3 linked regions of the Bombyx mori genome follow. The protein of the gene in region 1 purifies or fractionates together with the protein of each later gene. This does not show direct contact. Links are inferred from orthologs where the notes say so. Each region holds a gene or a part of one and is shown in the gene's direction. Other genes may lie near its edges.

Evidence for each region.
Region 2: the proteins of DLDH (region 1) and dihydrolipoyllysine-residue acetyltransferase component of pyruvate dehydrogenase complex, mitochondrial purify together in Homo sapiens (affinity purification with mass spectrometry; 4 studies listed by BioGRID and IntAct, counting the BioPlex papers as one, with this or other methods). This does not show direct contact. The link is inferred for Bombyx mori from reciprocal best matches to the Homo sapiens genes DLD and DLAT.
Region 3: the proteins of DLDH (region 1) and pyruvate dehydrogenase E1 component beta subunit purify together in Homo sapiens (affinity purification with mass spectrometry; 3 studies listed by BioGRID and IntAct, counting the BioPlex papers as one, with this or other methods). This does not show direct contact. The link is inferred for Bombyx mori from reciprocal best matches to the Homo sapiens genes DLD and PDHB.

The regions. Positions count from the first base shown.
Region 1 is NC_085128.1:7,023,993-7,034,914, forward strand, and holds the end of DLDH (dihydrolipoamide dehydrogenase), read left to right. Parts: intron 1-351; coding exon 352-509; intron 510-1,447; coding exon 1,448-1,584; intron 1,585-2,240; coding exon 2,241-2,328; intron 2,329-2,794; coding exon 2,795-2,896; intron 2,897-2,965; coding exon 2,966-3,103; intron 3,104-3,502; coding exon 3,503-3,592; intron 3,593-5,413; coding exon 5,414-5,479; 3' UTR 5,480-5,768; downstream 5,769-10,922. Other genes in the region: uncharacterized protein LOC101742417, read right to left, coding at 8,777-9,706, 10,059-10,273, 10,516-10,600. UniProt on the Homo sapiens protein: Lipoamide dehydrogenase is a component of the glycine cleavage system as well as an E3 component of three alpha-ketoacid dehydrogenase complexes (pyruvate-, alpha-ketoglutarate-, and branched-chain amino acid-dehydrogenase complex).
Region 2 is NC_085109.1:9,378,721-9,390,475, reverse strand, and holds the end of dihydrolipoyllysine-residue acetyltransferase component of pyruvate dehydrogenase complex, mitochondrial, read left to right. Parts: intron 1-1,040; coding exon 1,041-1,217; intron 1,218-2,628; coding exon 2,629-2,924; intron 2,925-4,123; coding exon 4,124-4,218; intron 4,219-4,737; coding exon 4,738-4,937; intron 4,938-5,960; coding exon 5,961-6,063; intron 6,064-6,974; coding exon 6,975-7,104; 3' UTR 7,105-7,973; downstream 7,974-11,755. Other genes in the region: uncharacterized protein LOC101744577, read left to right, coding at 10,227-10,389.
Region 3 is NC_085112.1:15,802,702-15,813,907, reverse strand, and holds pyruvate dehydrogenase E1 component beta subunit, read left to right. Parts: upstream 1-1,029; 5' UTR 1,030-1,244; coding exon 1,245-1,453; intron 1,454-2,337; exon of another isoform or gene 2,338-2,591; coding exon 2,592-2,745; intron 2,746-3,781; coding exon 3,782-3,968; intron 3,969-4,648; coding exon 4,649-4,771; intron 4,772-4,958; coding exon 4,959-5,063; intron 5,064-5,537; coding exon 5,538-5,657; intron 5,658-6,173; coding exon 6,174-6,354; intron 6,355-6,805; coding exon 6,806-6,830; 3' UTR 6,831-7,020; downstream 7,021-11,206. UniProt on the Homo sapiens protein: The pyruvate dehydrogenase complex catalyzes the overall conversion of pyruvate to acetyl-CoA and CO(2), and thereby links the glycolytic pathway to the tricarboxylic cycle.

The DNA.
Region 1 (10,922 bases):
CAAAAGAATAATGTCGTCCACTGTGCTTTCGTTTGATTTAATTAAATATGTATTTATTTTTTATTGATAAGACAGGTGAACCTGTTGTTAAGTGGTGTCCTGAACACAAACATCACAACATGTGCCTCCCAACCTTGCAATGTGTAAATCTCTATAATAAAGTATATCTAAAGGCTATCACGCCCTTCAAACCAATACATGTAAATTACTAAGATAGACAGTGAGATGGGTTATAATTCACCCTATTATCATTAAATACACAAATGATTCTTGCCATATTGACGTTTACTACACTTCTTATTATGCAATTGACATATGAATTATGTTAATGCCTATTTTCCTATGTCTTAGGTGTTGGTATTGATGGAGAGGTAGCCAAGACTCTTCAGAAAATCTTAAGCAAACAAGGAATGAAATTCAAACTGGGAACTAAAGTTTTAGGGGTTAAGAAAGAAGGTAGTACTATCAAAGTTGATGTTGAAGCTGCTAAAGGTGGCAATAAGGAAGTGGTAAGGTTTAAGACATTTTGTTTCAAAGTGGCTAAAGCAAGAGATAGAATAATAAACCTTTGATGAACTGTAGCTTCATAAAGAAAAACAGAGTGGAATAATATTGATAATAGGACTAAGGCATTTGAGGGCTCCAACGATTTATCGTGTATTTGTGCCTCATAGGAACTGTTTAAAGAATTTGTTTGAAACAATCTAGTCATATTTATTTTACAGTCTTACCACCCTCCACTGGTACATATTTTTCAGCAATACATTTTTTTGTTGCTTTTGAAGGCAGACGAGTTTACTTACTGCCCACCTGAAGGTGAGTGGTTACCGCTATTAATAGACTTCAGCAATAGCACAACCACTCTCCACAAGCCTGGCTTGAAAAAGAACATGTCAGAACTGGGGAAAACACAGTGGAAGGGGTTTAATTTTAGAACCAGCTAATACGTGGCAAAAAAGATATTTGGAACCACACTCAATGGACGCAGCGGATACAAGTAGTATAGATGAACTCTGCTTTAGAATAATATTTAATAATTATTCAGACCGTTCTTTCAAACCACTGCATTCAGTCACAGTATGTTATCAGAGATCATATTTCCCACACACCCTTTTGCTCCGAGATGAAATTCTGTGATTCCTGATATCTTTGCCATTTTCTTTTTCAAACGAGTTTTTGAAAAAAGTTCCCAGAAGTCGGCTGGGGGTTATTAGTGTCCCTGGCATTGCTGTGTCTATGAGCGATTGTGTTCAATCAGGTGGTCCATATGCTCATACGAGTTTTGAGGCAATAAAAATAATAACGTAATAAATTAATACTTATATGTCACATACCAAATGAATATTAGTTTATTTATAATAACATATTTATTTCCTTTTACCTTTAGCTACCTGTTTATTGTTAATATATTATATGGTCTGATATTTATCTTAAAAATATATTTCAGTTGGATTGCGATGTGGTGCTAATTTCAATTGGTCGTCGCCCTTACACTAAAGGTCTCGGGCTCGACAAAGTGGGCATCGCTTTGGACGACCGCGGCCGGATTCCTGTCAACAACAAATTCCAAACTACTGTGCCCGGGTGGGTCATCCAAATTAACATACTGGTGTTAGGACCAGGTGGTATTTTTACTGGTGGTAGGACCTCGTGTGAGTCCGCACGGGCAGGTACCACTACCCCACCTATTTCTACCGTGAAGCAGTAATGCATTTCGGTTCGAAGGGTGGGGCAGCTGTTTTAACTATACTGAGACCTTGGAACTTATATCTCAAGGTGGGTGGCGCATTTGCATTGTCGATTTCTTTGGGCTCCGGTAACCACTTAACACCAGGTGGGCCGTGAACTCGTCCACACATCAAAGTAATAAAAAAAATCCAGTGTATTTCATTCGAGTTGCTATCTGCGTAACAGTCAGTAACGCTACGACTTTGACGTTCATACGACCTAATAGTCGAAATCTCAATCGCATTTGGATAAAGGGGAATAGCATTTAAATGAAGGAAACATAAGTACTTATGCCAACAGTATTTCTTGTGGCTCATAATATTCTATATTGCCAGTGTTGTACACATGTGTCTGGGAGGAGAGTTAAATAGGTAAATAAGGAGCGGATACTGGTACAACAGACAAATGATAAGGAAGTATGGAAGTATTAAGTATAGCATTCGCGGTACGCGATATTGTGATCATCACGGACTCTTGCTAATAAAAAGGATTTCATTTTATATTATTTCCAGAATTTACGCTATTGGTGATGTAATTCACGGACCAATGTTGGCTCACAAAGCGGAGGACGAAGGTATCGTCTGCGTGGAAGGTATTAAGGTAAAACAAAATTTTGTTAATCAAACTAATTTTTGTTAAATATTGACCATTGACAATACGTTGAATGGCTTTGTTATGTGTGAATATAATTGAATAGAATTTTAAAATAGAATAGAATAGAATGAAAACAATCCAAATATTTTGTATAAAACTGCTTGTCAATCAATCAACTACAAAATAAAACAATGACCGTACATGATTTGTTCTCAGTTATTATAGTTAATTGTTGTGATGTAGATTAGAAATTTTCAATAAAATGGATAGATATATATTTATAGACAACAAGGAAAGAAGGATAGCAAAGGATTAGATCTAAGTTTTAATAGAGATCGCTGTTATAGCAGACCTGACTATTTTTGTAACAAGGCTTTAACTGCTTTAATCACATTAAAACCATCAAAATAGAACTAAGTGATATTTCAATCGTTGAAGGTGAAACTGAAAAAAGTTGTACACAAATTTTCAGGGTATGCCCGTCCACTTCAACTACGATGCAATTCCGTCGGTTATTTACACTTCACCCGAAGTTGGCTGGGTCGGAAAGACTGAAGAAGATTTAAAGAAAGAAGTAAGTCTCAGAACTTATTTGTTTTGAAAATGCTAAGCTGTCATTCACAACTAATTAATATTGTTAAAGGGCAGAGCTTACAAAGTGGGTAAATTCCCGTTCCTGGCGAACTCCAGAGCGAAAACGAATGGGGAAACTGAAGGTTTCGTCAAAGTGCTTTCCGATAAGACTACAGACGTAATCCTTGGGACTCACATTATTGGCCCTGTGAGTATAAAAAAATGTTAATGTTTATGCTGGCAAATGAGCACTTGACAAAATTAAATGTTATTAAAACTGTTAACAGTCTCAATCTTTCGATAGATGGCACTGTTTATTATTCTTAACAATAAATATTATATCGTAAAATATTATAATAAATTGTATTGTAAAGATTAAAAAATTTGTCAGAAATAACCATCTAAAATAAAAATGTAATTTTTTGTGTTTATTTTGTATGTGATACAAGCCCGTGTCTTTTGTTTGATGGCGCGCTACTAGTACGCCATCTATCGTTCGATTACGTTAAAAGACTTTATATTTTGAACATGAATCGCTTTTTTAGCGGATTTTTAAGATCATTATCAGCAATATTACTGGTATATAAATATTTGATAAATTCATCAGGGCGGTGGTGAGTTGATCAACGAGGCTGTACTCGCGCAGGAGTATGGTGCCGCTGCTGAAGACGTTGCGAGAGTCTGTCACGCGCATCCTGTAAGTATAAATATACACAAAACGAAACTTAACAGTCAATTTTGTTCAGTTTCGTGAACATGTAACTCGGAAAATCCGCTTTGTACCTTAAAGTCATTAAATCTTGATAGTAATAATACCTATAGTAATGATTTGCATTTTTTTTTTATTGCTTAGATGGCTGGACGAGTTCACAGCCCACCTGGTGTTAAGTGGTTACTGGATCCTTGAGATATAAGTTCTAAGATCTCAGTATAGTTACAACGGATGCCCTAACCCTTCAGACCGAAACGCATTATTACTGCTTCACGGCAGCAATAGGCAGGGCGTTGGTACCTAGCCGCGCGGACTCACAAGAGGTCCTACCACCAGTATCTTATCATGCATACAACTATACATATGTACATATAAAAATCTTGCATTAGACGCCTTCAGCTCTAAAGCTAGGAGCAGGCTTAGGGACCCGCGAACCCTACTCGTCGAACTCTGCAAAGTTTGACCTGTAACCTAACCTAACCCACTGAGTTTCTCGCCGGATCTTCTCAGCCGGTCGCGATTCCGACCCGGTAGTAGATTAATGCGCGAAGCAGTTGCTCTTGAGTTGTTAGGTCTCCTATGGAGGCGCTCGGGCAGTTGTTAGGAAAACTCACCCCTCATGGCTGAGCCTTTGCTCGCCCACCTATTATGGCGAAACTGGACAACCAGTAATCCCTCAGTCAGAAAAAAAAGTACATATATACATAATATACCATATACAGTGATGGGCAAAAAGTAATCAGATTAATAATTACAAATTACAGTTACATTGTAATTGGTAATTGAGATACTTTGTAACAGGTTACTTAAGTAACTGATTACAGTGAGTACTTATTGTAATCAGTTATAAAGTAATTCCATTATAAGTTAATCTAATTACATTAACTGTAACAGATTACTTATGTATTTGAAACAAATTACTTATAATTACTGATAATTGATCACATAATTATTCTGTTATGTTATGTTAGGAAACCTAACAAAAAATGTCCTACTAATAACTTTTTTGACAAACGCAAAAATGAAACACATTTTATATACTTTTTTTATAATCTTTTATCATTTAACGTTCTTTTTTTTAAATTAATCATTGGCAGATTAAATTAAACAACATTATTTTGCTGATTTATAATTTAAATTACTTTTTTTTTTTTTTATTGCCCTTGTAGGCAGACGAGCATACGGCCCACCTGATGGTGAGTGTTTACCGTCGCCCATGGACTTCAGCAATGCCAGGGGCAGAGCCAAGCCGCTGCCTACCGCACTTGACCTTACTTTTAATATGACTCTTTTTTCAAACATTTCGACTGACAGACGGTTGGTTGGCTTTCGGACAATTAATCATAGTAGCGTACGAAAACAAAAAAAAGTCGAAAAGTAATAAGCAAAGTCGTCCCCCACTCCGCACACCTTCCTTTCTAGTTCACTATGAAGTGAGCCTTACCTATTTATTTTTATTGAAGTACATAAAACCTACCTATCTAAAAATCGATGTATCATATATATAAATATGTGTTTTTATTACAAGTGTTATATTCAAAGTAATTACGATTTACGATGTAATTGATTACTATGTAATTAGGTTAGATTGTAATTTAGTTATATTGCAATTAAATACATTGTATTCAATTACTTTCACATCCAAAGTAATTCTAATTACAATGTAATTGATTACTATATAATCAGATTACATTGTAATTAAATTATTTTGTAGTTTAATTACTAATTAGATTACAAAAGTAACTAGTTACGCCCATCACTGACCATATATATATTTGAATATAATTAATGTAAATTTGATTTCAGACATGTGCCGAAGCGCTACGTGAAGCAAATCTAGCAGCGTACTCCGGAAAACCAATCAACTTCTAAATGTAGAGGTGCTAATAATTAATGAACCCAATGAACAACTGGGTTTTTAGTCTATATTGTGTCCGCTTTAAGGAATCTTGTATGAATGAATCTGATTTAAAAGGAATCGTGCCACGTACGTTTTTAAATATAAAGCTCAAGTAAATTATTACAAGAGTATTTGAAAGCGTTGAAGGAACACACTGTTATTTATGAAATCATTAATTGTGACGCCAGTTTGCTAGTATGTGATATTTATTTGTATAATAACTAATAAATAATTTCAATAATACTTATTTTTGTTAAAGTACCGTTTAGTTTTTTTTTTTGTGCAAGTGCATACCTAAAGGATCCTTACTGTCACTAAAAATAAAACTACATTTGTGTATTTATCTTGTTTTGTAAATACCAGAATACATTCATGTAAGAAAGTTTTATTTTTATTTCTTAACTAAAAAACATTATAACAAAAAATTTAAATGGGAAATTCATAAAAACAAACAAACAAAGTTCAAAACTTAATTGTGTTAACAAACGTATAAAATAGAAATCTTGACTAGACAAACTAACGAGTAAACAATTCGTGTTGTAGAAAGAAAATCAACAATTTCATTTTTAAATTAATCTAGTTGAAATACATTAATATAGTAAAGGATAATCATTGTAAAATGTCATGGATATAAAACATCTACTTTATAATGGATATATTAAATCTACAGTCAATTTACCGAACAATACAATCTGTGCTTAGTCGATAGCATTACGAAAAGCTATAAAACAGAATTAGAAGTAGGTCGTTCTGGAACTTTATCTAACAACTAAAGTTAAGAGTAACAGTCGGAAGAAATGACTCGTGAAGTAAGAAGGTAGCGGTGGATAAAGCGGTGACTAACTCTATTTTAATTACGAAGGTCCTTTTGACACTTCTTAGAACGTAACTCTTCACTTTTCGCATAATTTAAAATAATAAACATTTTTTGTTCATGGTCGTAAACATCATTTAAAAAATACACAATCAATTTAAATCAAGATACAATTAATTCACACACACAATAACATAATAATAACATCTGTATCATTAGACTTCGTAATTGGAATAGAGAAGTATGATTGGTTGCAACATTAAATTACTAGATCACGGCAAGCCTCCGCTGAAGAAACGAATGACATTTACAATTTTGGTGTGAATCTCTCATGAATTTAACTAAGGCGGTCCGTTGTATCATTTTCATAAGACTAATACAGTACACGCGGGCTAATTTAGTCGGCTTCGACTTCAGCAGGGTTATTGTATTAATTGAAATGAATGTAATTATAGTAATTTTGTCCGTGCAGTTTGGGTCTTAAAACATAGCCCGGCTAGGGCGGCGAGCATGTTGCGCGGGCGCAACGCAATTATTGATAAAAACTAATGAGTCATCGAAGGCAGGTACACGGCGGCAGGGTGGTATACGAAGGGTGGTGAGACATTGATATGTTATGAGTCATTTGTACTTACCTGCAAATTAAATTACATTATGTCGAAGAGAAATGTGTTTTTATGCATTCATTCTCTGAATTTCTTTACTGACACAATGGCTACTCCTTTGTTTTGTATCAAAACAGCAGAATTCATTCAAAATAATATTGCACGTGTTGTTATCAACAATGTGTTAAAAATTTTAACTGAAATAAGAATAGATCCCGAAAAGTTACAAAGCTCGTTAACTTTCTGCGGCGATATGTGATGTAAATGTTCGATTAGTGATTTTTTCTTTCATTTTTATCACTAACCCACAAAATGACAAAACTAAATACACTATCGATAACGCTTATCGACAACAATAATGCGCATCACTATGCCCGTCCATAAGGCTCATGAGTGGAAGAAAGAGCGAAATACTTGCTTCACTGCTCCGACTTTTTATGACCCAAACTGCACGGACAAAATAATTCTACTATAGTAAATACGATGGCAATGAATTACCGAATGACGCCAAAAAAAGTTCTCCCACGACTAAGCACGTTTGGAAGTTCAGTACGCCTTCATATATTCAGTCCGGCTAAATCTACTACATAAAGTACTGTGCAAACTGCTGCGTATCTTATAGAATTGACAACAATCTTTACATAAACAAAACGGACATAACAAACATTGAAAAAATATATATACTTGTATAAAATCATGCCAAAATCACCAATGATAACACATAAAAACTTAGAAACTTATATACACATACATATACTACTACATATTTTAACACAAACAAAATCAGTCTATAAGAGAGCACAAATACTAAAAAGAGTAGAAAATGTATTATTTCCTATAAATATAGTCTAAGGGGATTTAATCTCATTAGAGGTGTATGGTTATTAAGTAAAATTTCCATTATAGGATCCAGGATAATGAGCGATTACTGTTACCAAAGCTATTGCTTTTTAATCTATTGATTAAATTGCTATTTCAAAGAATTTAAGCGTAGAAAAAATGAATAGCAACTATAAAATCGAAACAGGATACAGAACCTCTTAGATTACACAAACATTGAACTGGGTGAGCATGAATAGTGTGACATACCAGGTAAGTTATAGGTATTACAGAAAAAATACAAGGTTTTTCAAGCTCGACTTAGCTTAACTTTCCTGTATATTCTCTTCTTCTTCTTAGTCGAATATTTCATTGCTGAAGGTCATGTCCTTGAAAGCCCTTCGTGGCTCTTTGTACCCTCAGCTTCCATTTGCTTCGGTTTTCGGCTTCTCTCAGGGCGTTCGCAACAGAGAGTCTAGTGAGCGCAGATATCTGATCCGACCAACGGTATGGTGGCCGGCCGGCGGGTTTTTTCCCTTCTACCTTGCCCACCACAATCAATCTTTCAAGGTTGTCTGGTGGCCGCCGAGCAATATGACTAAAGTAACCAAGAACCTTCTGGTAGCAAATCGTAGACAGTCTCGTTTCTCTTGGCGGTCCACGTACATTACACAATAATAACCTGATTTTATTCATAAATTTATCATAATAAAGAAATAAAAGTAATAAAATAACATTAAAACATAATCCTGTAGGAATAACAAATTCGAACAATCGAAAAATCAAACAAAACAATTTTATAATTTAATTAGTTTTAAAAATAATCGCTCATTGTTTAGTATTACAATAATAGTATCGCAATTGCGAATACTTGTAGGTTATAATAATGTTTAAAAAATCTACGATAATTAATATTAAATCTACGATAAGATCAAGGGATCTGCAAATTGATGCAAAAATTAATTCGATGGATATCATTGGAAACGAACACCAATAATTGCTCTGAGTCATCTTTCAAATCCCTTGCTAATTCAGCCCCATGTGTCCATTACCTGATTGCACATATTCAAGTAAAATTTTGGTGACAAAATCTCACTGTATTCTGAACAATCTTTCGAATACAGTATCGCAGTAATCATTGTAGTAGCATTCGATTCCATATACTTACGCAAAACACGTTCCAGTTCAGTTATAGATAAACTGTTATTAATGTAAAAATCTTTAGACAAACGGAAACATATTTCCCACAGTGCTGCGTCCACGGGGAATATGTTTATCAATTTATCAATCACATCAGCTGCTTTACCAGAGAGATCTTGTTCGAAAATGTTTACCGTTGCATTGGGTAGTTTTTTCTTCAACAGATATTTTAATTCATCACAGCAACACGGTAATGATTTAAAGGTTGATGGATCTATTACGTTATAGGCGACATCGTTCAGAATAGCCAAGGACACATCTTTTATCCTTTTTGCTATGACATTTGTAATAGTTATTTTGACCTCGTCTTTGCGGGTAGGCGGTCCAGCCTCGCAGTCCGCGCTGTGTTCAATCTCAAGGGGCGTGCTGTGTTGCACGTAGAAGCAATCGTTTTGGGGACCGCGTTTTAAATTCTCTAACATTAACCTCAAACACTCAGAGTATGCGTTATTATGATAAGCAAATTTGGCAGCCATATTTAAATTCCTTGCTACATTGGCTTCGTTTATCCACGGTTTGAGTAGCATTATGACGTCATCGGCCCAGGACTTCCTTTTGAAATCCTTCATGGACTGTAGTGGGTTTAGCTGGGATACTATAGGTTGCCTTTGCAAGTCGTTGGCGCTAGATAACATGTCGACAGCGGCAACGGGCTGGAACAGGAACTTATGGTTCGTGCGGCTCGCTGGAATCTTGATTACGCGTTTCGTTGTTTTCATCATAATAACCCGATTACCTCCTTTCGTTTTCTCATTGGAGATCTGATGAAAAAAAAAAATGTACATTTTTTTATTATTTTTTATTGCTTAGTTGCGTGGACGAGCTCACAGCCCGCCTGGTGTTAAGTGGTTACTAGAGCCCATAGACATTTACGACGTAAATGCGCTACCCATCTTGAGATATAAGTTCTAAGGTCTCAGTATAGTTACAACTGCTGTCCCGCCCTTCAAACCGAAACGCATTACTGCTTCACGGCAGAAATAGGCAGGGCGGTGGTACCTACCCGCGCGGACTCACAATAGGTCCTACTACCAGTAAGATGAGATAGAAAATATCCACATTAATATGAGGATTAATCACAGTATTTCCAGATTCGAGTAATCGATAATTTACCTGTAAATGAGTGTTGCCAGTGGAATAAATTCGTCCATCGTCGTCGATATAGACGGTGAAGTCACCACCGCACCCGACCAACGCTTTGGTATTAAACTCCATATTTTCATCAGCATCTGTAGTTTTCTCACTATCGCTTTTCATAGTATGAGGTTGTGTCTCCGTACGAATTTTAACTTCGGTTGGAATCTGTATTTGTTTTCTATCGCCACTGCCTATTCATAATTAAATAATTTAATTTAAAAAAACAAACAACAGATCTCTGCTGTCTTAACTGTTTTAAATGTGAAATTAAAGAAAATTATTAAGTCACTTCATTTCTTTTGAAGAATATTAAAACTGCAGTGACAATTATTACTTTTAAAAAATTAAAAAAGTATGTTTTTATTTATCATCTATATATTTTATGCTTTTTGATCATATTATATTATTAATTTGCTTATTGAGTAGACCTTACCTAGCTGTCCATCGAAATTAAGTCCCCAGGTATAAATAGAGCCCATGTTGTTTATTATGCATGAATGATGCCAACCAGCGGATATCTGTAAATACGAATCGAACCACATTATATATTTTTTCACAACAGAGATGTCGGAGGAACGTGATCTTTTTGCTAAATTTGGAACCTCCGGGTCTGCGGAGGGACTTCGGTTCCCTCTGTATTTTGTACCGTATGTTCCATGGGGAGTGCTCTGAGGAATCGTTTGAGATGATCCCCTCATCTCCTTTTTATCATCGCACCTCCCGCCATCGGAGCAGAGTTCATCCATATCATCTGGAACCGCTGCGTTCATCGACAGTGCGTTTCCAGAGATCTTTTTTGCCACGTACCATCCGGCTATGGAATGAGCTCCCCTCCACGGT
Region 2 (11,755 bases), on another chromosome or scaffold:
AGATATTACACTTCATGTAAAATTTACATTGGCGGGCTTAATGCCTAAGGCATTCTCTACCAGTCAACCAAAGGTAGTACAGAGTAAATAGTGGTAAATACTTATATGGCTCGTGATTACATATTTTGCTGTGAAATACTAACATACGGAAAACAATTTTTGGTTGGAAGGGCAATTTATCCCTAATTAATCTGTAATACGAATCAATATGATGAACTTACTTCTTTATGGTATAATATAAATATAATAAATATAATATAAATATTTACTAACAATCACCCCACGATAACTGGTCCCGTGATAAGTTCGTAAAGAACTTGTGTTACAGGTACCAGATAACGGAAATAAATGTAATATTTTTATTATACACATACATATATTTAATATACATCCATAACCCTAGAAAAGACATTTATATTTATCATACAAATATCTTCCCTTGGCGGGATTCGAACCCGCGACCCCCTTGTGTAGTGACCATGTCACTTACCACTACACCAGACGGCCGTTATACGGACGGTGTACGTCAATATTATTTTTTTGCTTATATGGGTGGACGATCTCACAGCCCACCTGGTGTTTAAGTGGTTACTGGAGCCTATAGACATCTACAACGCAAATACGCCACCCGCCATGATATATTAGTTCTAAGGTCTCAACTATAGTTACAACGGCTGCCCCATCCTTCAAACCGAAACGCATTACTGCTTCACGGCAGAAATAGCCAGAGCGGTGGTACCTACCCGCGCGGACTCACAAATGGTCCTACCACCAGTAATTACGCAAATTATAATTTTGCGGGTTTGATTTTTATTTACACGATGTTATTCCTTCACCGTGGTAGTCAATCGGTGAACATTTGTTGCGTACGTATTTTAATAGAAAAATTGGTACCCGCCTGTGGGATTCGAACACCGGTGCATCGCTCAACACGAATGCACCGGGCGTCTTATCCATTAGGCCACGACGATTTCTTAATATTTAGTTAGTTTATTTATATACGAGTATACAAATTTCTCATGTTTTTCTGTACCATACAGCGGCTGCCGCACCCGCCCCCGTTGCAGCAGCACCCGCAGCCCCCGTCCCCTCCCCCGCTCCGGCCGCCCCACGTCCCAGCCCTGCGGCTGCCCCCGCCGAACCTGCTTCGTCGGGCAGGGTATACGCCAGCCCTATGGCTAGGAGACTGGCTGAGATCAAAAACATCAGATTAGGAGGTGAGATTTTTTATTTTCCATACGCTTTTATTAGCTTCAGTCGTATGTATGTATGTTTGTAACGGAATCTTTGAACATGATTTTGACCCCCTTCAAAACGACGGATTAACTCGAAATTTGGTATACTTATTAAGGACCGATGACAATACAATATCAAATAAAAACATGGAAAAACAAAATTTTGAAAAAATTGAATTCAACTGAAAAATGAACAATAAATATTCGTTTAAAAAAACTAACAAAATACGCTTTTATAGAAAATCCAACTAAAAAATGCAAAATAAATTTTAATAAATTTGAATTAAAAATAGTGTTATAGGATATTATCAAAATAACCCTACTACTCATATCTGTTCATAAAATATTTATAACTACTTATACCATGCACCCCACGCCTTTTTACAATAAAATCATTTTTTCATACACTATTTTTAATTCAAAAATAATTTTTTTTTCCGTTTTTAGTTGGATTTTCTATAAAAGCTTATTTTGTTAGTTTTTTAAACTATTATTTTTATTGCTTAGATGGGTGGAGGAGCTCACAGCCCACCTGATTGTTAAGTTACCGGAGCCCATAGACATCTACGACGTAAGTGCGCCACCCACCCTGAGATATAAGTTCTAAGGTCTCAAGTATACTTACAACGGATGCCCCGCCCTTCAAACCGAAACGCATTACTGCTTCACGGCAGAAATTAGCAGGACGGTGGTACCTACCCTTGCGGACTCACAAGAGGTCCTACCGCCACTTAATAATTTTAGTCTTCTTACTTAACTGAAAAATGTTATGCATTAGCTTGAAACTATGAGAAAATCCGAACTTTGTAATATACAGTTTATTACAAAGTTGTTCTATTTCCCCAAATTTTTACGATTAATGAAATCCCTTAAAGTCTTTATTTATGAAAAATTGCTCGTACAAATAAGTATTAAAATTTTTGATGGATAAATACTCTAACGCCATCCCTACAAGGTCTAAGACGACCGCTCCTGTGACGAAAACGGCAATGAATGAAATACTTTAATAACTTTTAACCGTTCGAAACCGTTCGTTCGAAATCGACACCAATAAAATAATGTATTATATGGAAAAGTAATACTTATATATTAGGTCAGCACAAGGACCAGTATCCATATCTATTTAACCCCGTTGTTGTTATAGAAAAAGATAAACGGATAAAATTTTCAAGTACATACATACAACGCATTTATTTTCATGGTGATGGATTTTTTAAAGTATTTTATCCTTTCAATTTCGTAATAGTTCTATACCGAGCCCTCTGGATGGTGTATTGTCATTAAACGAAAAGGTATTTCGTTATATTGACAAAGGCACGTAATAAGTTACAATAAATGAAAGAAACTGGGAAAAAGTTTACTTTAATTTGCAAACCAAATATACCATCTTCAGGGCAAGGTACGGGTCTATACGGGTCATTGAAGAGCGGTGACCTGTCAGGAGCGGCAGCGGCAGGACCAGCGGCTCCGGCCTCCGCCCCCTCCGCACCAGCCCCCGCCCCAGCCCCCGGCGCCACCTTTGTGGACCTGCCGCTGTCCGGCATGAGGGAGACCATCGCCAAGAGGCTGACGGCCGCTAAACAAAGCATCCCGCACTACCAGCTCAGTGTCACCGTCAACGTCGAGAAAACCCTCGCCATGAGGAAGCTGGTTAACGAGAGGCTAGCCAGTGAAAAGGCTGATGTTAAGGTAAGCTACTCATCATCATCCTGCTGCCCTTCTCCCAGTCACCTGGGGTCGGCGCAACATGTTTTCTCCTTCCATACTCCACTCCTCTCTTACACATATCATCTTTCATGCAATCCGTCAATTTCTTCTTAGGTCTACCTCTACCTCTATATCCTTCCACATTCATAGTTAACACTCTCTTAACAACCTCATTTTCATTTCGTCTCATCACATGTCCATACCATCCCAAACGCGCACTTTCTCAACTTCTCTGTCACAGGTGCCACTTTCAGACTTCCTCTAACATGTTAGCAGTAATGCGTTTCGGTTTAAAGGGTGGGGCAGCCGTTGTAACTATACTGAGACCCTTAGAACTTATATCTCAAGGTGGGTGGCGCATTTACGTTGTAGATGTCTATGGGCTCCAGTAACCACTTAACACCAAGTGGGCTGTGAGCTCGTCCACCCATCTAAGCAATAAAAAAATTAAAAGTTATTTGAGGTAAGGTAAATTTATTGAGGTAAACTACTACTAACCGATTAACGATATTCAATAAAAAATTGTGGGCTCTTTGGACGCGTTAAATGCCAGAGCCTATTATACTGATAAGGTTAGAATGCTAACGTAAATGACGCCGCTATCTTGTGACGTCAGGTATGATGTAAACGTCAGGTATGATATGAATCATAGTTTAGGATATTAGCTATTTTCAGAGGCGACAGTAAGTCTGGAGTCTGGACCTTAGTTGCAATATATTGCTGTGCCGATACAACGCGGTGTCGCTACTGTCGTAATTATCAACATCAAAATATCGAAAATAAGATTTGGATCATATAAGTAGTTACAGCAACGTGTCAATTTCTAAAGGAATCCACCTTTTTAATCTAATGCTCAATAATAAAAAGATTTCATGTATATATTTATAATATTTAAAATGAAACAGCGAACAGAAATTTACTCTTACCTACGTCATATGCAAAAAATAAACTATGACAATTACGATTACCGCTGAATATGGGCAAGATGGCGTCAGAGATTGCACAGATAGCTAATTTTCAAACCGCGATAGTAGCGACACTACGGTTTTAAAATAAACTAAACGACAACAGTGCTCTGGTATCAATTAAACCGGAAAAAAGGTTACCGATCCCGATAAACCGGACCACTGCATAGTACAAACATCACGTCGGACTATGTCATTAAAAATGATAATTTTAAGGTTTCAGTGAACGACTTCATCATTAAAGCCGTGGCGGCTGCCTGCAAGCGCGTGCCTACAGTCAACTCACATTGGATGGAGTCTTTCATAAGACAGTAAGTTTGAGATATTAATAATTGATTAAAACTGTTTTGTGTAGTACGCTTTCAAAGGTATTACAGCTCTCATGGTGTTGCCAGTCATAAAAACTAAAAGCATTGTAGCGCACAATCTCGAAGTTTTGGAAGTGTCTCACGTATATTGCTGAGGCACGACCCTGTCTTCAATAAAGGCGTCATTCTATTACAAATAATTTATAAATTTTAGAAATAAAGGATAATAATAATAATAATAAAATAATAATAAATAATAATACAAGAATAAAATAAAAATAAGAATAATAATAAAGGATTTAAATAGTACAAGATATTATGTTTCTTAGTTATTGTTTACCTTTTAAATCTTTATTATCAAAACTATGCACACATTTCACTATGTGTCTTTTCATACGAAGCGAATTATTAAAGGATTTAAATGACGTACCTACCTAAGCTTTAACGTTAAATGATGTATCATCTAATCATGATATTGAAACCGACTTTTCTTTGAAATAATTTTTTTTTGTCTATCATCAGATTCTCCAACGTAGACGTGAGTGTGGCCGTGGCGACTCCGACCGGCCTCATCACGCCGATCCTGCACAACGCTGACTCCCGGGGCATCATCGACCTCTCGAAGAACATGAAGCAATTGGCGCAGAAAGCCAAGGACGGTAAACTTCAACCTCAAGAGTACCAGGGCGGTACTGTCACGGTATCGAACCTAGGAATGTACGGTATGTATTCTTTATCTACGTTTAGCTGTGTAAACATATGACATCTCGTTTTGGATGGAGTTTTAACAATAATAAAAATAATTGAGAATAACTCACACACGCTCAGCGTGGTATGGTCATGTGATGCGTAGAGAGAAGATGCATGTGACTGACTAGGAGATGTATGGAAATGCTAGTGCAAGGTAGAGGGGGAAGAGGTCGACCGAAGAAGACATGGATGGAGTGTGTGAATGACGATATGAGAGAGAGAGGAGTGAGTATTGAGATGACGGCTGATCGAAGAGAATGGAAGAGAAAAATCAGCTGTGCCGACCCCACCTAGTGAGATAAGGTGGAGAAAAAGAAGAAGAGAAGTCACACACGGTCGTCTGGCCCCAATTTAGGGTTCCTTGTGTTATGGGTACCAGTGATTGATTTAGATACGTTCGTATATATACATATATTATAGATAGTAAACACTCAGACAAAAAGCAAACATTACCTGTTCACCGCACAATGTTTGCCCGATATGGGAATCGAACAACAGTTAAGCAACAGTTAAGGGCGCTAACCATCCGACTCAGTCGATTATTATTATTATATTATTGAAGTGTTATTGATTCGATGAAAACAGGCAGAGGTGACAAAAACAAATGACAATAACGTGTTATATACCCTAACTTTATGTAATATTCCGATATGCAATAGGAATTTTACCACATATATACATTGGCGTACGTGACTGTCGTGAACGCTGAGACAGCATTGCAACACACTAGAAACGGTGCATTGACGTAAATGGCACATTGACGCACATGAGTGCGGGGACGCCGATTCAGCACCTTTACCTCATGGAGCTTCGAAGCCAGCCACGGGGCCCGCACTTCTGAACTCACATCGTCGGAAGACAGACCAGTAGCATTAATTAAGTTTAAGTTTCATTGTAATCTTTTTAATTTTAATAAACTTTAGATTCATTTTCGGTTTTCTTTAAGACCTTAGGCTGCGACCTCCGTAATTAACGAAAGTGTTTGTTGTCGACAGGTATTACGATGTTCAACGCCATCATCAATCCCCCCCAGTCGTTCATTATAGCTTGCGGCGGCGTACAAGAACTGGTCATTCCAGACCAAAGTGAACCAAACGGGTATGTTGTTTGTTAGCTATCAGCATGACCACCAGCCAAATAGACTCAACAGCGTGCCTGTCATCAGGTCAAATCCCAACTATAATTTCCGCGTCTGAATACGTCGTGTTGGAGCCCCCGTACCGCAGCACCGTAAGCTTCCATTAGCGTTCCAATTTGTGTGTACAGCCATTAAAAACTACTAATAATCAGAGGTCGGCTAGAGTCGTTCTCTCCGGACAAAAGGTGTCGGTTTGTGACTATAATGACTACTGTGGTTTTATTTATTTATTGCGTATATGGGTTGACGATCTCACAGCCCACCTAATGTTAAGTGATTAAGGGAGCCCATAGACATCTCTAAAACGTAAATGTCGCCTCCCACCTTGAGATATGAGTTCTAAGGTCTCAGTATAGTTATAGTGTCTTTTATACGTGTTCATTTATTAGGATATTCATGACGAGAAAGCCAAATTTTTTTCCACCGAATTTACGATTCAACTTATATTAACTTAATATCTATCAATCCACACTATAAGAGCGAAAGAGATAGAATACGTTTTAAATTTCACTTCTACCGTTGTGTTTTGCAACGGAAATGACACTCGATAAGCGACACTACCAAAAGTAAAACTGATATCAGCTATAGGATTATATAACTATAGGATTTAGTTTTGCAAGCGAACGATGTTTCACTACCGCTTTATTATTTTATTTATTTATTTATGTAATATGTACACACAGAAAAGAAGACATAGTACAGAGTAATAGGAAAATTATGTACAAAGGCACTGCTTATTTCTTTAAGAAATCTCTTCTAGCAGACCTGCGAGAGGATTATGATAATAATAATTAAAAGCGATGAGTGTGTGTAGAAGAGCTAAAATAACAAATACAACATGAGAATTGCATAATTTTTTTGTTTATTCCAGCTTCCGAACAGCCAAGTTCGTCACGTTCACAGCGTCGGCCGACCACAGGGTGGTGGACGGAGCGATCGGCGCTCAATGGATGAAAGTATTCAAGGAGAACCTCGAAGATCCCGCCAACATCATTTTATAAATAGAGAAACGGTCCTACCTCAATTCAGCTTAACGAAAGGATGTCGCGAAAACGTATACACATAGACGAACATTTCTAATTCCGATATTAAAAAAAAAAAAAAAAAACTGACATTTTAAGGTTAAGTGTTTTGAAACGGTATTAATTTATTTTTAACAACAAGTTGTATTTTTTTATTATAGTCGCTTTTACCGGTATCCGTATTAAAAAAGGGAGAAAAAAAGTAAAATTTATTGTAACCTGTCAAGAGATGGCCTCGTGTGTTTTTGGCTCCTTTGGATGTCCTGTATCACCGTAAGACGGGGACACAGAACATACATTTTTTTTTCATCACAATATTATTAGTACAATTTTCGCATTTTATTTCGATCACAAATAAAAAGTTTAGTTTTGCTCGTTCAAAGGACCAAAGTAGTTAATCGAAATAAGAAAAAGCTTAACTTTAAGCTTTGATAAACAGTTTGATCGTCGCGGTTTTCTTAATATTTAATTTATATATTTATTCTGTGGTTACGCTTTTAATGAGTGAGCTTTTGCTGAAAGCGCGTATTTAATAAAACTATAATTGTGATTTATGAGAAACGACCGAAAAAAAATCTCGTGACGAAATATACATTTTTACGCATTTTATTATAATAATTTAAAAAGAAGTAGGGTTCGGAATGTAGATCTACATATTTATTGTAATTTACTGTAAATATGTAATAATAATTCGTTACAGCTGTGACGTCAGTATGGAAACTAATGTATGCATTGAAACGAAACGAAGCATTATTTTGTTTTGTTAAAAATTTTGTAATGTTACTTTGTAACGTTTTGATGATGCTAGATTATTTATGAACGTTAGTGAAATATATTTTACTTACAGACGAGTTTGTTTTATTTTTTGGATTTCATTAAAATTAATATAAAGTTTTACTTTCACACCAGTTGGTGTTTTTGTCAATTTCTACTGTCATGAAATTCGCCTGATTGGAATTGGACTAATGCTGAAATTAGCTCGAAGTTTAGAGTTAAGTTTAAAAAGGATAAAAACAGTATCAATCTTTTGTGTTAGTTGTGTTCTGATTTCCAGAGTAAAAAATATAAACAAACCAAAAATTTGAAAAACTATAATTATGTACCTACATACATATTAAATATACAAACAAAATTAGTAATACCTATGGAAACATAATATGGCAATGACATTAAAAAATGGCTAGTCAAAAACTTTTTTCACACAGACGACAATTCAATACAATTCTAAAATTTACTCTGTCTGTTAAGCGGAATATTAATATTCCCTAATGAATGTATTTCTTAAACTATTAGATCATTCAGGTCGTGCCCTTGCGTGTAAAAAATTCGTGAAAAAATGAAACACGATCTATTAAGCTTCAAATTGGCAATTCATGTCAAGGTCTGACGTATGTCACGCTTAATCACAAATGAATAACAATAAAAGGTATTTATGTAATAACAATCTAGAAAGTAGAATTTCTCACGGTGTGTAGCTTTTTATCATTTCAGATGTTGATGGGGCGGAAATGGCTCTAATTTATTACCACTAATTTATTTGCAATTTAAGTACCTACTAACTCAATAGTACAGAGGTAATTCTAAATATAATTTTTCAAATGAGTATGTTCCTAAGATGTTTATGTTTGTTTTGCGTCCGACGTCGAATCTAATTGGTATGGCATTCACCGTTTCAAGACATCACGTTTATCATGTAGACAGTAACACGTTGATTGATTGACAGGCTTCGGGGAAATCACATGTCTATCATGAATCCATTTTCCATGTATGTTAAAGGCCACAAAGGTAGGTTTGGTACGTACTTCATAGTGTAATAAAACAAAACATATAATATTTATTTCCGCAATTGATTAGTGGTCGAACATGTTGTGCACGTCCCATCCGGCTATGGAATGAGCTCCCCTCCACGGTGTTTCCCGAGCGCTATGACATGTCCTTCAAACGAGGCTTGCGGAGAGTATTAAGCGGTAGGCAGCGGCTTGGCTCTGCCCATAGCATTGCTGAAGTCTATTGGTGACGGTAACCACTTACCATCATGTGGGCCGTATGCTTGTCTGCCTACAAGGACAATAAAAAAAATCTGGTACTGATCGTAAGTCTGACGCGTAAGGATAGTACTTATCTCAATGCATAATTAAAAATATATTAAAATTGCCCCGCGATCTTATCCGGGTTAAATTTAAAATTTAGAACGAATGAAACACATTGCCTTTTTCCGAGATAAGGAGTTGCTGGTGTCCTTTGTGTTTTAGTACGTTCACTGATAGTAAGTGAAATCACCAAACAGCGAACAACTATAATATATAATAAGCTAAGCTAATATCGGGCGTTTCTCACGTTATTTACTAGGCTAGAAATTATCTTTTTCTTACATTTTGTATAAGTCAATTCAACTATTTATTAACTATTTAATAACTTTAAAATTTATAACATTAGTAGTATAAATTAATTTTATTATTGCTTAAGAAGACTTTCTGTGATTCGAACGGAAATAAAGTTTAGTAACAACAATCTTAAAGTACTTGCGTCCCCCTGAATAAGCCACTAATGGTTAGTTCATCACGAGTAATCTACTTTTGCTGCGGATGAACGTAGAGGATAACAGTCTAACCCATAGACACAGCCTACAGAGTTTCTCGCCGGATCTTCTCAGTGGGTCGCGATTCCGATCCGGCGGTAGCTTCTGCGAAGCACTGCTTTTCCTAGGGCTAGTATTATCGAATTCTCAAGCTAAGTTGAGCCCGTGAGCTGACCTACTCGTCTGCGCGAAGCTAGAATAGAGCATCTTAGGCTACTAGCAAATATGTAAAGAAAAAAAACAACAGTCCAGTATTAAATGTCTATGGCAGTTCGTAGATACGTGAGCACCGTCACGCAACTAGAGACGAAAATCTCATCACCATAGTGTAAACCGTTTGTTTACTCTTCAAATCTATCAATGTTTCTCAGCAGGAATTAGCACGCAATTAATACGTTGTACTACCTGTCAAGTTCACCTGAATTCAGATTAAAAAAACCAATAGGTATATACCTACATATATCGCAGAGATTACTGTAAAGCTTATGTAATTTTTTTGACATACATATACTGTTTCTTTTAGATGACCGAAATGTCAACTGAATGGGAATCGGAGTCAGAGATCAAGAAACCCGTAAAGGATGTGCCGGTAGTTCAAGATCAAGGTCTTTTCAAACACGATACTGGTGACACTTACGACGGATACTTTGAAGCGAAAAAGAAAGATCGAAGTGTTAAGATGCATGGTATTGAATACGTTCGTTTTATTCTGAACAATATTCTTATTTTGACGAAGCCAACCGAGAGAGCATCCCATTTGATGGCAATTTTCACCGATAATACGATGCGATGGTGATACGACCGACCGTGGCTTACCTTAAAATAGCTTCTTTTGATGACAGGAATTATCTACTACTAAGATAAAATGTGATATTGCTAACGGCTAACGGAGCTTTCAAGGCGAAACGAAGGCTCTGCAACGTCAGCCGTCTCGGTACAGCGGGCCGCTGCTGGTGTCCTGGGCTACTTCGCTGGGCCAAAACCATCCTGTTGGGTCGAGACGCGATACACCGCCAACCGGACGCTTTTATGAGGCTACTCCTTCGGAGTGCGTTAGAGTGCTGGTAGCACGCCGCGCTGCCTCAACCCTCTCAGGTTGCCCCGTGGCCTTGACCGGGGAGTGGCCACCGCCTACAGGAGCAGGGACGTATCCTCGTATTGTCTTCTGTCTTGAACCTCTGGCGCGGAGAGGAAAGAGCTCAACCTTTCTCGTTCCGCCGTCTCCTACTGCGAGATGGTGGACTCGCAGAAGTCGAGCATCGCCTTAGAAGGCGATCTTAGAAGATGCTATCGCGAGATTCGAGTCTCCGTGCTCAAATCACTCCCTCGCCGTGTCGATTCGCAAGACGACCTGCTTGTTTCTGCCACGAAGTAATATAAAGTAATATAATATAATAAAGTAATCATACGTGCAACCATGAAAGATCGTTTCCATCTATTTTTAAAGTAGCAGGTATATGCCGATTGTTTATTGGCTTGTTGCTGTTTAAGTACTCCGAATATGGACAAACAACAATGAAACTTAACAGATCACATGATGTCATTATAAGAACATATGTAACTAGATTGACGTATAACCAATTACTATTCGTGCCGATTAACATAATACAATGCTCAGTGCTAAAAGATTACAATGATCGATTAGAATTATACTTCACATATTTCAATTAGACGGCATCCATTGTCCTTTCAAAGCACTAGTAGCCATGAACTGTTATTACTCTTCTTTGTTTTTAAATGACAAATATATAAACTTATGCACCTACGCTGACATACTAAGCGGACGATGCTTTTTGAAATTTAATCATTTGTTTTAAATAATTATACATGGAAGTATATATTTTTTACGTATAATCGCAAGTTCATAGCCTTCCTGAGATCTTACGTCATGACATCACTGTTTTGGGTAATAGGTACCTCTCAATTTCACAGTGTAATGGGCCGTGTATAGAGACACCCATTCAAACAATCGTCACGTTCTAATTGCTTAAATGCATTGTTCTTGTTACGCATTTGTCTCTTTGTTTTACAAATACATCCAATCGATTGCAT
Region 3 (11,206 bases), on another chromosome or scaffold:
AGATGGTGGACTCGCAGAAGTCGAGCATCGCCTGCCAGGACTCGTCGCTGCCGAGCATCGTAGCCACGACGGTCGGAAGCGACAAGTCCGGTCCTATTTTTGCAACGAGGACGCGGCGCTGCTCCGTGAAAGCGGGGCAGTACGCGAGCGTGTGCTCCGCTGTGTCCTCGTTGTAGCCACTACAGTGGTGGCATTTCGGCGTCGGCTCCCTTCGGGCGACGAGGTGCAGGTAACGACCGAAACAGCCGTGTCCCGTGAGCACCTGCGTCGCTCGGAAGGTGAGACGCCTTCGGTCGCGATTCACCCAGTCCGAGAGGACCGGGCGGATCGCCTCGACGGTCCGTCGCCCGTAGGCGGGGTCCGCCAGTCGGCGAGACCACGCCTCGAGCACGGCATGCCGAGATTGAAGCTTACGCGCTCGAACTTCCGCCACGCTGGGACGCGGCTCCCCCCTAGAGCGGAGATCGCATCGCCACGCGTAATCCGCAGCGAGCGCCTCCGCTTCCAGGTCCCAGGGAAGATAGATACCTCAACCAATTTCGAGAATGCCGCATTCAATCCCTCTTTTTATTTTATGACTTGTCTCGTGTTTTTTAATTCTATAGATGTACATTACCTTTTACAGCGCCATCTCTGTAATGATCACAGAACAGTATTACTTCTATGCATGTGCTGAATTTGAATTCTCTCTAGTAGAGACATCTATACATATAAGCTGAAACATTTATTATCATTTTAGTCGAAGAAAAGTAACGAATTTAAAAGTTTGATCACACAAAAAATTTTTTTTGCAGATTTATTAATTTTATTATGAAAAAACTCCTATTTTAAAATTAAGTAATAAGTACTGAATCCAAGAAATCGAATGACATGATCGATGATTTCATAAATAAAAGGATTAAGCTCGATGGACTTACTAGTAAAATGATAATAACGTAATAAAATTGTCGGCTTAAAATATATTTTGAAATTTGAAGTTTAAATATTAAACCGTAGTTCAGTTTCAATCGTACAAAGAAAAATTCTGACATTTAACAAATTTGACAACTACTGTAATGTCACAGTGTCATGCGTTATGCGTACGAACTTCAATGGATACACTAACGACCTCCATTCATCCTTCGTCGCGGTTCATTCGCGAATTTAATATCATTTTAGACAAAACTAAGATCTTACCTCGCCAATAAACCACCTTGCTGGTTTAGGTGTTGCAAAAATTATTTAACAGTGACATTATATTTAAAATGGCATTAAAATCATCGCCGGCTGTTCTCGGGATGCTCACTCGATTATCCCGTCGCAGTTTTGCCACATCGAAAGCTCTGGCTTCTAAGCCGGTGACTGTAAGAGATGCTTTAAATCAAGCGATCGACGAGGAGATGGAGAGAGACGAGAAAGTCTTCGTTTTGGGAGAGGAAGTCGCTCAATACGATGGTGCCTACAAAGTTACAAGGTAAAACATTCTAACCTATCGTATGTACATAACAGTCGACTATTATATTTACTAGTTATTGCTGAAATTTCAACTTGATTTGCTATTTTAATCTTCTCTGTTATCTCAATTAAGCTCACAATAGATTGTATGTAATCCAAATTCGTTTCATCATTACATAACCCATTCATTTGTTGACAGATTGTCAAGTTCAATGTTATCGTTAGCAAATCGATAGTGCAGTCGATGTACTGTCGATACGACTGCAGTAAACAAACAAACACCCGAATGCAATTTGGCTAACCAATGAAATATAAATCATATAAAATGGATCGAAATTCATTAATACATAATATTTTCAACCTATTTATAGTTTAAAACAATTTCTGTAATTTATACTAGATAATATCTATCGAATATGTTGGAACAAAATTCTGAAAATCTGAAAAATAAAAATCACATCCAAAAGTAAAAAATATATTTAAGTGTGTGCAGACATTTAACTATCATCATATAAAAGAACGCTGTTTCATATAAGATTTTAATGCCATTAATCCTGAAAATTTAGAATGATATCTTCCTTCATACATGAAGATTATGAAAACATTAAATTCTTTAAACAGACAAAATAAAACTTAAATATAAAAGTGTTAATGCTCAGCTATAATGCCTTCTCTTAATATGAAACAATAGAAACATAGAATACTTAAAGTTTACAACCTTTATATTTTAAGCTCTGAATTATAAACTAAGCCTATCAGTATTTAGCGTACCGGTCTCGTCACAGTTAAAGGCCAGATAAGTAACATTAATTAATCTGGGCATGTAACTTTTATTCCAAAAGTATTATTGCATGTGACTTCGAACTATGATCAGATGGGCTTATATCTAAAGTGTACATTGTATTATTCAGTGAACACAGACATCCTACTACTACATCCTCTATTTCTACTACTAACATAAATACATGAATATAAATTCCCTACTGTTGCACTAAGTTTGCATCTAGTTGGTGACTCATAGGTGAGTTTTAGCTTCCCCAGCATGGTTCTAAATAATGTCAATGCACACTACATGAAGCACTAATCAATCATTAAATAATAAATTTCATGTGATGACAAAAGATGAACAAGATATGAAAACCAACAAATAATTTTAGGGGTCTATGGAAGAAATATGGTGATAAAAGAGTTATCGACACACCCATCACAGAGGCAGGATTCGCCGGTATAGCTGTTGGAGCTGCTTTTGCAGGGCTCAAGCCTATTTGTGAATTCATGACCTTTAACTTCTCTATGCAAGCTATTGATCATGTGAGTGTCCTGATAAAATTGATAAGTTGTATTTAATGAACAAAATCCTCGTAATGTCCATGACACAATTGGTGGTGTTATGTCAAATGTTGACAATGACCAAAAAATCACAAATATAAATAAACAAATATGTAACAAAAAATATAGAAAAGGGATATCCCAATGAGTTTCTCTCTGGAAATGCTCAATGTGTGGTTGTTTTCAGTGAAACACTTGCTATGGATTTTATTACCAAGCTCTTTGAGGTTAAGTCCATGACCTCAGCCACCTCAGTCACAGTGGAGGCTGAATAGGCCCTCGAGGCTACTGGCAGATAGGTAGACCAAAAAAATACAAACATAAAACTGCATTATGACAACAATTCCGAAAATTTAAAAGATTAAAACAATGATACGTAATGAATCCCATAAATACATGTTTAAATATAAATCCTTTTGTGTGTCATGTGTTGATAAGAATGTACTAAAAAAAATATGGCCGATAGTCATCCATAATTATTAACTTTCTAAATAACTTGAAAAGATTTGTCTGTTGATATTGTCAATTTTAAAAAAGTAAATAAAAGCGCCACAAGGTTACATCTTACAGATTAAAACTTGATTATCCATTTTCTAATGTAATTAAAATTTCTACCTATAATCACGACAAGTCTTACTGGTGGTAGGACCTCTTGTGAGTCCGCGCGGGTGGGTACCACCACTCTGCCTATTTCTGCCGTGAAGCAGTAATGCGTTTCGGTTTGAAGGGTGGGGCAGCCGTTGTAACTATACTTGAGACCTTAGAACTTATTCTCAAGGTGGATGGCGCATTTACGTTGTGGATGTCTATGGGCTCCAGTAACCACTTAACACCAGGTGGGCTGTGAGCTCGTCCACCCATCTAAGCAATAAAAAATAAATAAATAAAAGTCTATAATTACTTTATGATGAATCCATAAAATGTGATGGTTTCCACAACGATTTAAGCCTAAGCGGGTCATGATCCACATATACGAACCGAAAAATCCAACTACATTAGTAAAAAAATTCACTTCCAGATAATAAACTCAGCCGCCAAGACCTTCTATATGTCAGCTGGCACAGTACCAGTGCCAATAGTATTCCGAGGACCTAATGGAGCTGCCTCCGGTGTTGCCGCACAACATTCCCAGTGCTTTGGTGCCTGGTACAGCCACTGTCCAGGCCTTAAAGTTCTAATGCCTTATTCAGCAGAGGATGCTAAAGGTAAGCAGTTCACCTAGTCATTTTATGCATAGCCAATGAATCTAAGGGAAATATATAAATTGACAACATCAAGCTGTGCACATTTGATTATATATATTTGTATATATTCAAAGAATGTCGTTTTTAATACTATCATCATTCATCATTGTGAACAGTACCTGAATAAAAATTAAAATATATGAATAGTGTATCTAATAGTAATAAAGGTATATAACATTTTATAAGTAGAACTTTGCTAATCTCTATCGCCATCTCCAGAAATAGTAATCATTCCAAAAATAGCTTCGAAGTTCTTTTGGATAATATTGAATTAATATTGAAACCATGTATAATGCACACAACCAGGATGTCACCACTTTAAGATGATAATTTTTTTTGTAGTGAATATGGAACAGGGGGGACTTGATTTATATGTGTGAATGTGTGTTTGAAGACCACCAATTGATATTCAGTATATTGTTTCATTTTATACTTTGAAAATCCATATGAGATGATGACTATAATTTGTTGCTGTTATTGACCCTGTTCCCTTGTAGTTTTGAAATAAAACTATATATTGACTTTTGTTGATTGATGGTTCCTCTAACAAATATCATAAATAGTCAAAATATAATATTTTTTATATTGGTATTTTGATTTTGCCCTCCTGGTATACTCATTACTTAGAATGTTACTTTTAGGTCTCCTGAAAGCTGCCATCAGGGATCCCGACCCAGTTGTTATGTTGGAAGATGAAATTATGTATGGTATACCATTCCCAATGTCAGATGAAGCCCAGTCCAAAGACTTTGTACTTCCTATTGGTGAGTAGACCCACTTATCTGTTGTTGCCGAATAGCTTTCAAAAAGAAACACCAGTGGCCTAACTACTCTAATTGTTGTTTATTAATAAATAAATAAATAAATTATTGTCGTCCAGATTACTTCTACACATCATAAGGCGTAACGACACTAAAATTGACTAACAGTAAAAATTGAACTATTTTTCAGGCAAAGCTAAGGTAGAAAGGGAGGGTCGGCATATCACGCTAGTGTGCGCTGGACGAGGCACCGACACCGCGCTCAAGGCCGCTGAACAACTGGCTGGAAGCAAGGGTACGTCTGAAGATACATCATTCATCAACTCAAAACTGACACGCGTCGGATATGACAGCTGTCAATTGCAAATTCAACTGTTTATTTTTTCATAAAAAACTGAAGACCAAAAACACAAAAATAAAAATTCAGAATTCGGAAAACATCTTACTTCATATTAAAATTAGGGTGCTGCTGCAAAATTTCACAACTTGTTGTACCTATTTAAATGTATTTTAAATTTATTTTTCATAAAAACGGATTTAATTTCATTGTATAATTCACCATAATATGTTGTTGTATAACTCCAGTATACTAATCTATTGTAGTTTTGTAATCAATGACAAATAATTTTGCAGCAGCTTTGTTTAAAAGAACAGATTCTGAATTGGGATGAACCATGTTCAGTAAGTAATTATTAAAGTCCTCTGAAACTCCTTTGTCCATAATTTAAACTCCAGCATGTTGCACTAAATATATTTGTAAATTTTTCAGGTATAGAATGTGAAGTAGTAAATCTAAGAACAATAAGGCCAATGGATTTCGACACGATCGCTCGGTCCATTGCCAAAACACATCATCTCATTACTGTAGAACAAGGATGGCCGCAATCTGGTAAGGATTTATGGACAATAACATTAAAAGGCTCAGTACAAACGTTGGGTGTTTGAGCCAGATAATAAATGGAAAAACGTATTCTGCTACTGCTGCACTTTAACAAAGCATCTATTCAATGTGCACACTACTAGACATGTCCTTTGTATGACGGCCCCGGTGGCGCACCACTCGGCACCTGACGTGCGGGGCCCACTTGTGTTCTGCTGTGAAGGGCTCAACAACCAATACAATGCAATTGAGAAGTTGACTACATATCTCGAAGGGGCGACATTCATTTGGTAATGTCTATTAGCTCCAGTGATGACATAATATGATATTAGAGAATATCGCCCCTATTAAAACACGCACTATAACTGCAATAGAAATCAGCTGATGTGTGGCATTCAAGGCTTCGTTTGGCATTTGCGTAAGCTTTAGATTATAAAATATTATTAACTTGAAAGCTACAAAATACTTGACCACGATATGTGGCAGGATAACGGGATTAGTGTTGAATAACGTGTATTGTCCCAGGAATCGGCGCAGAGATCTGCGCCCGCGTCATGGAGTCGCCGTCGTTCTTCGAGCTAGATGCGCCGGTGTGGCGAGTGTGCGGCGCCGACGTGCCCATGCCCTACGCCAGGACGCTCGAGGCGCACGCGGTGCCCGGACCCGCCGACGTGGTGGACGCCGTCACCAACGTGCTCGGCAACAAGTCAGTATAGCTCTCCTCTCAACTACTGTGTCGTGCTGGGGAACAAGTCAGTGTTGCTCCATGCTGGGGAGCAAGTTAGTGCTGCTTCATGCTGGGGAGCAAGTTAGTGTTGCTCCATGCTAGGAAGCAAGCTAATGTTGCTCCATGCTGGGAAGCAAGCTAATGTTGCTTCATGCTGGGAAACAAGTTAGTATTGCTCCACGCTGGGGAGCAAGTTAGTGCTACTCCATGCTGGGAAGCAAGTTAGTGTTGCTCCATGCTGGGAAGCAAGCTAATGTTGCTTAATGCTGGGAAACAAGTTAGTGTTGCTCCATGCTGGGAAGCTTGGGTGAGAGGTTACGGCGCAAATGTGTAGTGATGTCTGTTGCTATTGTTAGGAAGCAAGAGTGTTGTGCACTGTGGTGTTTACTGAATAATGTAGATAAAACCAAAAAATGCTTCGTTGTTTCAGAATCAGTGCAGTGCAAGCCCAGTAGAACAGGGAATCTCCACAAGCAAATATAAATTAATAATGTTCGGATAATCTGTACATATTTTATTTATTTCTACATGGTGCATTGAATGAAAAGCAAAGAAGTCTTAACTTGCTATTGTGATTTAACTATACATTTATATTGAGATTAGAATTTAATAATTTTATTAAAGATACTATTTGTTGAACAAAAAGATGTATGATTTGAAAAAAGTGGGTCGTTATATTAATTATTATTGTATTGATGATAAAGTGAGCGTGCATTCCTGTTGTAAGTTGATACATGAATCGAATGCTATTGGTATTTATTTTATTTGGTATTGCGATTATATATTAATTCAAGCTACGAGGCGGCTTTCATGCGTCACGCTATGGACTGCAATGATCGCTTGTGTGTAGTATTACAGATTCGTTAGCAAACCAAAATGGCGAAAAACGCCATCTGTTTATCGTCATATGTACTAATCGTTTGAAAAGTCAATCCATAGATGGCGTGAGTTCGACGAGCGAACTGGCCCACGGACACAACCCACAGAGTTTCTCGCCGGCTTTTAGGCTTTGAACGAATAGATAGGGCAAAAAAGGCGTTATAGCTCTTTGTAATAAAATTGAGAGTGAATCTTATTTTCTTAAATTCCACTATCAAATGAGCACTTGACACCAAGAACCTGCGCTAATACTAATAGTAAAGAAAGTTTCACAATACATTTTTTGTAGTGTTAAAAATAGTTTCATTCTAAACCAGGGGCTCCCAAACTGATTTTGACTACTGCTCACTAAGAGAATAAATTATTTTTTAGCACCCCCATTTTTTCACCTATGTACTTAAACTTTGGGAAAGGCTGTTCTAAACAAACACCTGAATCGAACAAAACACGCAGGTCCGTAGCGTCACGCCAACAGCGCTGCGCCCTTGTTACGTGACAATTTATCTAAGGACAATTTGACCGCCACAATACAAAGATGGCTTCACCAATAAGTGCACCCAAAGCCGCCTCCAAAACACATAAAAAACCTACCGATCTATGTTCCAGGTATAATTGTTTTATATGCGTATGTCTTCAGCACCTATGCGTAAGTTTTAATATAGATGACAATTCAAGCTTCGTGGGTAAATTCAAAATATTCCAATACTATTTTTAATAGGACCACTAAACATACCTACATAAAAAACAAATACTACAATCCGGGGTCAGCTTCATTCATAAAACATCCAAGGTAATGTGATTCTCTAATGGCCGACGCACGAGCGAGGTGGGAAAGGAAGTCAAAAATATCCCATCAGCAAACCTACACAGCCTAGCATTGTAGTCAGGTCACAGTAATAAATTCCGCTTTAATGAAATTCGCAATAAATAATGTGGAAGTCAATCGTATTTCATTAAAAAAAATTGTATAGGTACGCCTAGCCTGCGGGAACCAATTATATTTTTTATTTTATTCCGAAATTGTACATAATCATTGTTTTTATTTAATTTTGTTATTCTATAGGACATGTTATTGTTAATAAATTAATATGGCTGCAAAATGTGAAGTATATTAAAAAAAATCTTGACTATCCAACGAAAATGCACAAAAATACGAATTATCACGAAACTTATCACGAATTTTGCTACACTTACAGTGGATAGTCAGTACCTACGGTCACAATCAGAGTTGCAACAGAGGGTCCACGATGTTCCTGTGAACACATTGTGGGGATGGTGACAGTTTGATTGATGTTCACCGTTCATGATCCAACTACAACACAACTAGAAATATCATCCCACGTGTATTTCGTTTTTTTTTTCTTTTACTTACCTACTCACCTAATTGTAAATGTTTTCTATGTTTACTTTAACATTTTATTCCTTTATAAATTTATTTTTCATATACACATATACTTGTCATATCGAAATGCGTAAGGCTATTTGGTATAAGCGACATTTTTGCAACTACAGAGCTAAAGTGTGGAAAAAATAAAAAAAATAAAAAAAAATCTTCAGCTATTTGAATAGAGTAAATTTAATTGAAGTTCAATTGAAAACATCGAACTGTTGATAATAATACCAAATAAAACGAACCTTCAATTACAAAGATAAATGTCGCGTATTTAGCGAAAGTTCACTTAAAATAAATAGCCTTCACCCCTGGATATATATTTTAAAACCGCATGTAGGTCTTCAGATACAAGCTGCGCTAAGTGCAAGGACCGCTAAAAAGCTGTATTAATATCACGAGTTGTGGGAAATAAATATATATAATAAACTATATACAGTAAAGCTTATTGCGAGCTCGGAGGGTTAGATGACGGCGAATTAAGGAGCAGGTCTGCCATCATACAATACAACTGAGGCTGGTGTTTGTTCTCGCGATGGTTACCGGTATTCATACTGCATTGTCTATTATGTAAATAATTCCGAGACGAGATCCCAAAAATTGCCGCTAAATTCTTCCACGTTTCAATTTTTTTTTTAAATTCATCTAAAATCCTGCAATGGCAGACATCTCAATCCAGCCGTTGACACGTAGAGACGTCAATCTTAGAACGTATAATTTCTGCCTACCCTCATAAAATAGGTGATCGATCACTATACTGTCACGCGCCGAAATTCTTTTCATACTTAATAATAAAAGTGGATTCTCGTCAGCGGAGATATAATACGAGTTTTTTTTTTCTACAGTCGAGAATTTTTCGTTCGTAATACTTTAGCTGAAAGATATTTCATCATCATCGGTGTTTCCCGAGCGCTATGACATGTCCTTCTCCAAACGAGGCTTGTGGAGAGTATTAAGTGGTAGGCAGCGGCTTGGCTCTGCCCCTGGCATTGCTGAAGTCCATGGGCGACGGTAACCACTCACCATCAGGTGGGCTGTATGCTCCTCAGCCTACAAGGGCAATAAAAAAATAACAATTCTTGTAACGAGCACGATTTCGTAGGAAACCATCAGTCAGTGAGGCGATGAATCTACATAAAATAAAACTCCAGGCTGACTCCGGCGTATCTAGTATGAAGTACAATACCCAGAGCCAGATTTAGAGGTCTGGAGGCCTCGGGCAACAGCGGAGCGGAGGCCAGGGCCCAAATTATTTTCCAAACAAAATGAACATTTTTTTTCAGTCGAGTTTTCCAATAAAGAATTTATTGTGAAACCACGTAGATTCTCTTAGTATTTAACAAATACTTAACACAAATACACAAAACTTAGTATTTAATAAATATAATTGGAGACAAGAATTATCCGAAAATAAATTTCGGATAACTAATGCTTACTAGTGTTTACTTGTCGGAATTTGAAAGGTTTTTTTTCTAGTCTCCATTGTTTTTTTTTTTTTATTTTTTATTGCCCTTGTAGGCAGACGAGCATACGGCCCACCTGATGGTGAGTGGTTACCGTCGCCCATGGACTTCAGCAATGCCAGGGGCAGAGCCAAGCCGCTGCCTACCGCTTAATACTCTCCACAAGCCTCGTTTGAAGAAGGACATGTCATAGCGCTCGGGAAACACCGTGGAGGGGAGCTCATTCCATAGCCGGATGGTACGTGGCAAAAAAGACCTCTGGAAACGCACTGTGGATGACCGCAGTGGCTCCAGGTAGTATGGATGAACTCTACTCCGGTAGCGGGCGGTGCGATGGTAAAAACGAGATGCCGGTATCATCTCGAACAATTCCTCAGAGCACTCCCCATGGAACATACGGTACAAAATACAGAGGGAACCGAAGTCCCTCCGCAGACCCAGAGGTTCCAAATTGTGGGACTCTCCGTTTGCTCTCAGTTGCTCTTCCCTAAATCTGGCGCTGATAGTACCGTATTGTTTCTTACTTACTTTTAATGCATTGGATAAACACAAGTGCACATATTTTTAACATGTAAAAAAAACCTCATCAGCGGACTTTAATCTTAAATAATATTCACTGACATACTCTCTACATACCACCTACCCAAAATTTTATTGCTAAGTATAAATCAAGCCTCAAAATACCCGTCTCAACTAACCCTGTAAGTAATAGTTGTTAAACCTATTACTGGATTATTTGATAAATTTTATGAACTACATTAGAACCATAGCGCAAATATTAAGACGACTTTAAACTACAAAACTAATAGAATCAGTATCACTAGTAAACATTCTCATTTGCATCGCTTAAAAAATTATTGCAAATAAGTATGTAATTGCTAAAATTAATAAACTTATTATCAATAGATGAAACAGTCTAGCACGTTTGTAACTGTATCTTTACTCGCCTTCATCTCCATTTTTAAGTTACTTATTTAGCCATCGCCGTTTTAGCGGTGTATTTTTCCCCTACCTACCTGTTCGCTGGCTAACGGCGTATTTCAGCTCCTTGCCGACGGGAGAGTGTATAATAATATGTATCGTGGTATCACGGTGACTA